Linked DNA regions of Saccharomyces cerevisiae S288C. The gene in region 2 interacts genetically with the main gene of each other region. Each region holds a gene or a part of one and is shown on either strand. Other genes may lie near its edges.

Evidence for each region. A genetic interaction does not mean that the proteins touch.
Region 1: mutations in MRH4 (region 2) and PIR1 together harm fitness more than expected from each alone (negative genetic interaction), as found in Saccharomyces cerevisiae (one large-scale study listed by BioGRID).

What each region holds. Positions count from the first base shown.
Region 1 is NC_001143.9:141,294-144,863, forward strand, and holds PIR1 (beta-1,3-glucan linked protein), read right to left. Parts: upstream 1,527-3,570; coding exon 501-1,526; downstream 1-500. Other genes in the region: PIR3 (beta-1,3-glucan linked protein), read left to right, coding at 3,108-3,570. UniProt on the Saccharomyces cerevisiae protein: Component of the outer cell wall layer. Required for stability of the cell wall and for optimal growth. Required for resistance against several antifungal and cell wall-perturbing agents and for tolerance to heat shock.
Region 2 is NC_001139.9:380,756-385,000, forward strand, and holds MRH4 (ATP-dependent RNA helicase), read right to left. Parts: upstream 2,454-4,245; coding exon 768-2,453; downstream 1-767. Other genes in the region: ALG2 (GDP-Man:Man(1)GlcNAc(2)-PP-dolichol alpha-1,3-mannosyltransferase), read right to left, coding at 1-516; pseudouridine synthase PUS2, read left to right, coding at 2,899-4,011. UniProt on the Saccharomyces cerevisiae protein: ATP-binding RNA helicase involved in mitochondrial RNA metabolism. Required for maintenance of mitochondrial DNA.

The sequences.
Region 1 (3,570 bases), on a different chromosome or scaffold from region 2:
ATGTCAATTTTCTTAAATTTTGACTGAGATAGTGACGAATATATGGCATTATAAGATGACAACAATTTGTTTCCTTCTCAAATGAGAAAGGGCTCCACGGTACACAAAGTAATGTCTGAGAAATATTCTGTCCCAGGAATAGTTGAAGTTGCATCCGATTTCAATCCCGTGAAGTCTTGGTACTATCAAATTCGTTGGTTTTTTTTCTGGGAAAACTCTATCAAAGTATAAGGTGCGCTTTTAACGTAATTTATAATGATTTTTTAGAAATAATAATGTATATAGTATAAAAAAATAAACAAACTTTAAAAAAAAGAGTGAAGAACTGTAAAGCTCATTTCATAGGTTTCAAAAGAAAGCTTTATGAAATGAAGAGACGAATTAAGAAGAAAAAAATGAACCGACCCAAATTATGCCCTTTGGAGACAGAAATGACTAATGTACAGAATATGCTACGATGACTTTATGTTTTCATGCGACTATGAGAGGTAAACTTATGATTAACAGTTGAGCAAATCGATAGCTTGTAGGTGGACTGCATTACATTGAGTTCCAATGTGCTCATCGTATAAGTTGTAGAAGTTTCCTGACAAACATTGGTAAAAAGTATCCTGGTCACCGATGGCCAAGTTACCTTCTGGGGTGATGGACCAACCAGCAGCATAGATAGCACCAGCTTGTGGTGGAGGACCATCGAATTGGAATTGTCTGTTGGCAACGATAGAACCAATTCTACCTTTACCGTCAGTCAGGATACCACCCTTTAAGTTCATTTCTAAAGTGCCACTGCTTTTACATGTTTCAGCAGTTACTGGGTCAGTGCCATTAGTAATTGGAGCTGGAGCTGGAGATGGTATAATGGTTGCAGAAGTTAAAGTTGTGGCTTGGATTTGGCCATCAGTGATTTGGGAGACTGGAGCAACAGTAGTATTGGTGGTGGCTTGGATTTGACCGTCACCAATTTGAGAAACAGCAGCAGCAGTGGTTTTAGTAGTGGCTTGGATTTGACCGTCACCAATTTGAGAGACAGCTGCAGCAGTTGTTTTGGTAGTGGCTTGGATTTGACCGTCACCAATTTGAGAGACAGCAGCAGCTTTGGTTTTAGTAGTGGCTTGAATTTGACCGTCACCAATTTGGGAGACGGCTGCAGCGGTAGTCTTAGCTGAGGTAGTCTTGGTGGTGGCTTGGATTTGGCCGTCACCAATTTGAGAGACAGCAGCAGCTTTGGTTTTAGTAGTGGCTTGGATTTGACCGTCACCAATTTGAGAAACAGCAGCAGCAGTGGTTTTGGTAGTGGCTTGGATTTGACCGTCACCAATTTGAGAGATAGCAGCGGCTCTCTTAGCCTTGGAGGAAGCAGTAGTGGCAATTGGTTCAACAGCAATACCGAAAGTAGAAGAGTAATCAGTTATACCACCCTTGTAAGTAGCTGATGGAGTTAAAGTGGACCACGGGTCCTTTGGAGCATAGGCAGCTAAAGATGTAGCAACTAAGGCGGAGGCAACTAATGATTTTTTGTATTGCATTTTCTAGAATATACTATTAGGGGAGTTTTGTAGTTTGTTTTTTTTTAATACCAGTGTATTAACTTTTGTTTTCTTGATGATATTATTCTTATACAGTAATAGAGAAGATAGGACAACTATGCATAAAGTAGTAAAGATCTTGCTCCTTTTTATATGTGAGAATTGTAGCATTACGATCTTCTTATTGAAAGAATAATTAGTATACCAGCGTTCTAATATTTGGGCAGGAGAGATTGACTGGACACAGTCTAAACCCTTTCAGATACATGGGCTAAATGATGGTCCATCGTATTATTAAAGCAAGTAATCGAGCTCCAAGAAGGATTTACGTCCGCCATCTCAATTTCTTTTATTAGCGTTGCTTCTATAATTGGCAGGACATAAAAAGGCTGCTAATAATAAATGATGATATAATTAAGAGCAAGCTGGCCGATCTCTCCATTTTTATGCGCTCCAAGCCACGTCATTTTCCGATGACAGGAATGCTTTGCATATTTCATATGAGATATACATTGACTCCTTTTCGACCAACCGTTTCATTAAAGGGGCAGCAGCTGTCAAAAAAGTAGCCGAAAAAGGCGTCTGGCTTCGAGGAATTATTACCTAAATAGGAAAGGCAGAATATATTAGAAAAAAAAGAAAAACCAAATGAGAAAAGTGCTGGTGCTAAATAAAACATTATTGAGGGGCCAAGAGGGGACAAAAGAAGATATAACTAGATCATTAAGTTTTCGCTCTAGTAACAGGAACAAAGATTGTGAGATACACTGTTATGCTAAGAGACGGTGCGATATTCTGTACGAAAATTATTTAACTATTAACTAAATGTATACCACTTCACGTGCCACCGAGTAGGTTTCTAAAATGTGCAACCATTTTAGGTATGTGCGCAGCTCTTTATTCTAAACGGGAGTCACTACATTACTATTATCGTGTTTTTGCCCATGTACTTTCTTATAATCTTAAGACAACAACGGGATGATAGGCGCATTCGGACTTTCATTGATGCAAATGTGTGAAAAATGCATCCAAAAGACAACTTTTGTACAGAATACAATTGCAAAAATACTTTACGGGCATAGATCGGTAAGGTCACCGGGAAGCTAGCGTAAGAGACCTTATTCGGAACCGAGCAACCATTTCCGAATGTAGTAGTAGTTGAAGGAGTAAATCGACCTTATTGTACACTACTTCCTTTAAATTTGATTTCTGGCCCCGCGCAATTTCTTGGCGGTTAAGCTGTATTTTTACCTCATCGGGAAAAGTTATTGCAAGTTAAAGGGGATCAAACGATTAGCAAACTAATTATAGATCAAAGGCCGAGGGCTTTCTAAATTTGGCATATTTCGCCGTCGACTGAAATAGAAGGGATAAATCATGCATCTCCAGGATTATCCCTACTCCATTCATTACAACATGCGCCAAATCAAGCCTATATAAGATTCTCGTCATTTAGCATGCTCTATTGATTTGTGTCTTGTTTTGTCTAACACTGAAACTGTAACCTAAGATTTCTTTAGATAATTATTACATTTACATCAATAAGAAATCTCATAAAACAAGTACTGTTTATAAGTAAAAATGCAATATAAAAAGCCATTAGTCGTCTCCGCTTTAGCTGCTACATCTTTAGCTGCCTATGCTCCAAAGGACCCGTGGTCCACTTTAACTCCATCAGCTACTTACAAGGGTGGTATAACAGATTACTCTTCGAGTTTCGGTATTGCTATTGAAGCCGTGGCTACCAGTGCTTCCTCCGTCGCCTCATCTAAAGCAAAGAGAGCCGCCTCTCAGATAGGTGATGGTCAAGTACAGGCTGCCACTACTACTGCTGCTGTTTCTAAGAAATCCACCGCTGCTGCTGTTTCTCAAATAACTGACGGTCAAGTTCAAGCTGCTAAGTCTACTGCCGCTGCTGTTTCCCAAATAACTGACGGTCAAGTTCAAGCTGCTAAGTCTACTGCCGCTGCCGTTTCTCAAATAACTGACGGTCAAGTTCAAGCTGCTAAGTCTACTGCCGCTGCCGTTTCTCAAATAACTGATG
Region 2 (4,245 bases):
AGTGAAATTTGAATTTACCACAACAGTATCGGCAGCACTCACGGAAAACTGTTCTATTAAGTCAAATGGTAGTCTGTATATTTTCTTCAATAGCCCAGCTCTTTGAGCCAATAATTGGTCGGGGAAATGACAATAAAACATCAAAGTGGCAGAACTAAAGATATGCAGAAGCGGAATACATGTAGACAGTTGATCAATGATAATTAATTGGTACGCATTCACTTTTTTCTGTAGGATCAATTGAATAACTAAATAAAGCTGTCTAATTGTTGCGAAAACAATAAAAAAACGACCCAAAAAGTTTGTCGGTAAAAAATCACCATAAACTTCGACTTTTAATTGGCCGTTTTTAACTTCTTCGAAACAATGTGATTTATCACAGTGACTAGTATAGATGATTACACTATGTCCTTGTTGCTGTAGACCTAATGCTGCATCGACGACTAACCTTTCAGCGCCCCCAATACCTAGGTCTGGATGAATAAAAGCAATCGTTCTTTTATCCTTTTCAATCATTTTTGCTTGTCTAATCGACTCTTTTTTATCTGTCTTTACTACTGTATCTATTTCGTGACTTCTTAAATGGCGAACGTAATCTTTTGATGTTAAAATGAATACATCATTTATTTTGTTGTTCGCGCGTTCATCTAGCCAGGCACTTGTTTATAAAAAAAGAAGCTATACGCAAGGCTCTCGATCTATAAATTGTATCTGTGATTGTGACCCTTTCGTATATATGTTATAATATTTACAAGAATATACATTTATCATGATAATCTCTGGTGCTTTTTGATGATCTTTGGAAGAGCTTTAGCCCAAGATTTTGTTTTACTGTCAGTTAGCATAAATACGCGGCCGCCCTGTTTCATTCTAGCAGTTCTGCCCACTCGGTGTATCAGGTCTATTGACGTTTTGGGTACATCGTAGAGAACAACATTCCGTACACCTTTGAAATTGAGCCCTCTTGCCATGAGGTCGGTGGTTACGAGTACATGCAAAGACTTGTTACTGGGTGCGGTACCATTAGAATTTGTGTTTTTCAATTTGCCGATGACGATGTTGGAATCAGGAATTTCAAATTTCTTCAAGGAAGTGGGAGGTGAAGTACTCTGAGCAACCACCTCCGAAAGTGGTCGCGGTGGTGATAAAAAGGGCATAATTTTCTCGGATCTTTCTTCAAATGTATCTTCACCAGTTAAACCGATGGCATTATGACCGAATTTCTTATTCAATAGGTTAACAATTTCAGGAACATTCTTTTTTTCGTTAACAAAGATAATGCATCTTTTCTCGAACCCTGGTTCCGTGTCATCATTTGAAATAGCATATAAAGTTTGTGCCAATGCTTTGATCTTGGATCCCTTGAAAGGACTTAAGGCAGAATTTATAACTTTAAAGTCCAAAGCGAATGGTAACTTATGCAGTCTGGGTGTCATTATAGGAACCACTGTAGGAAATAGTCTTTGCATTGTTTTATTAAACTCTTGAGGAATAGTAGCGGAACAGAAAATAAGGTGATTAATGTTAGGAATTCTCTTTATTGCGGAGTGCGTTTCTTCAAGCCATGACCTATCTAGAAGTGTGTCAGCTTCATCTAGTACTACGAAACCCACTTTGGACAAGACTTTATCAGGTCTAGTTATCATTCTTATGGAGAACAGGTTCAGTAGTTTTCCCGGAGTAGTGACTAAAATATCTATTCTATTTTTAATGTTCTCTAATAAATCACGATATGATGTGGCCTTGTCCCACTTGAAAGAGTTTAAGCCTAACAAGGTTTTCGTCTTGGAAACAGTTTCGTATACTTGGTCAACCAATTCATGCGTAGGCACCAGTATGATGGACCGAATCAGAACGTTTTTTCTTAATGTTTCCCATAATTCGGGAGTTTCCAACTCCTGTCTTTTCAAATAGTCTATTAAAGGTATCAAGTAGGCCATGGTCTTACCTGAACCTGTCTCAGCGGCAATCGCATGTATTTGTAACTTTGGATCCATTAAATTTTTGGATATTCTCTTAATGGCCACTGTTTGAATGGGACTCGGTATTATATTTTCACTGGTTTTTTTCCTACTATCTTGTAGCTTCAGGGACTCTTTGGAAATGATTTCTTTCACAGCGTCTCTGACAGGTGGAAGTATAAGCAATTGGTCGAAATTCGATATTTTTTGAATGAGTTTATTCGTACTGTCCATATTCATCTCGACGTCTTTTTTCAATCCACCATACTCTCCAAAGTTGAATGCTTGGTCAGGGTCATTCTTTTTGTTACCTTTTTTGCCTTTGGCCTTCTGTTTTCGGTTTTTATTACTACTGCCTGTAGGCACTGAAGCTAATGGAGAGTTTCCTTTATGCTTTGTTCTTGGGCCTCCCGCATAAGAACGCACTCCTATCTTGAGAAGCACGGGGAAAGACCACTGTGGTGAAATTACTGGCTTGAAAAAAAGCGACATTTGTCTTATTATACTTTAATCTGATCTGAAGAAGTATTTCTACTCATCACTAATATCTATTCCGCTATTATTATAGTTGTAATTTATGATTCCGTGGTAAGTGATTTGAACTTTTGCTTCCTTTCGAAAATTTCAAGAATATGGTTTGGTTGTGCTGTGCAAGAGCGGTTGTATTGCGAAATAGAACCCATCGAGAAAAGAAAATGAAAAAGACGGCATTAAAGACTAGCTCTGTTTTAAGACAAATATTTACAGGCCAGAGAATAAAGAGATACTCGTATGTATGAATTGTAGCCCCTTACACACATATGTATATATATCGATGTGAACATAGCATTTATTAACAGTTCTGCTCAGTACAAATGGTAGTAGTACTAGTGATGAGGTTACTCCGACACCGTTAACAGCGGTAGTAAAGAGAAGGCCGAGTAAACATAAGGTCGTTATGCTCTTAGGTTACTGTGGCAGCGGATACTATGGAATGCAATACAACCCACCACACAAGACGATTGAAGGTGAGATTCTCACCAAGCTCTTCGACGTAGGAGCCATTTCCGAAGAAAATTCATTGGCACCGAAGAAAAATTCCTTTATGGCAGCGGCAAGAACAGACAAGGGTGTACACGCTATGTTGAATCTACTGTCGCTAAAGATCACATTGCGAGAGGACACAGTAGCGAAGTTAAACGCCGCACTACCGCCCGAAATACGCGTGTGGGGTATCCAGCCTGTCAATAAAAAGTTTAATGCTAGATCCGCGTGCGATTCTCGATGGTACCAATACCTTATCCCAGAATTTATACTCATTGGTCCACCCCGGAGTTCTCTTTTGCATCGAAACGTGGGGGGATGCTACCGCGAAGACGGCTCGCAAGAGGTGTGGGATACGTTCCTGGAACAGACGCGTGGGAGATTTAGCGGGGATGAGCTGTGCCGTTTGCAGGACACTGCACAGAAACTAAGCGAGAGCGATCCTTTGGTACAAGACTACGTGGGGCTATTGAGCGGTACCCTTAGCGGCTACTGCTTGTCGCCCTCGAAGCTGGACGCGTTTGAGGCAGCCATGCAGGAGTACGTGGGAACGCATAATTTTCACAACTTTACCACAGGAAAGCTTTGGGGGGATCCTAGTGCTCAGCGCCATATCAAAAAGGTTGTAGTGTCGCAGGCCTCACCGGGATGGATATGTGTGCGGATCCACGGGCAGTCGTTTATGTTGCATCAGATTCGACGAATGGTAGCGCTTGCCGTACTTGCAGCCCGTTGCCAATTGCCGCCTAATATTGTACGTAACTATTTTAACGCCGGGCCTAGGAAATACATTCCGAGGGCGCCCGCACAAGGCCTATTATTAGAGGGACCTGTGTTTGACGGGTATAACACTAAGTTGCGCAATTTGCTGTATTGCGAAATCCGCCCGGACGATATCACTCTTGAGCGCATGTGCCGTTTCCGAGAACGCCAGATCTGTACTGCGATCGCACACGAGGAGACACAGCGTCACGTGTTTTGCCATTTTGTACGACAAATGAACCGCCTGGCCACGCCTCTAATCTAGCCGCCCAATGTCGCGGGTTGACCCGCGACATTGGGCGGGCAATACTCTCATCTTATTGGCTATTCAACTTAGACAAGCGCCAGTTGCGCGCACAAATTTGGTCATGACCGCTCCACCGGCATGCGTGTCGTCATCCCGCATCATTCGGGACATTTTGGCCTTTTCCGCAGTGCGTAGTTGACGTGGGGAGAAAGCTAGTGGGCTGTCGCATATGGTTGGTTTTAGGTGGCGAAA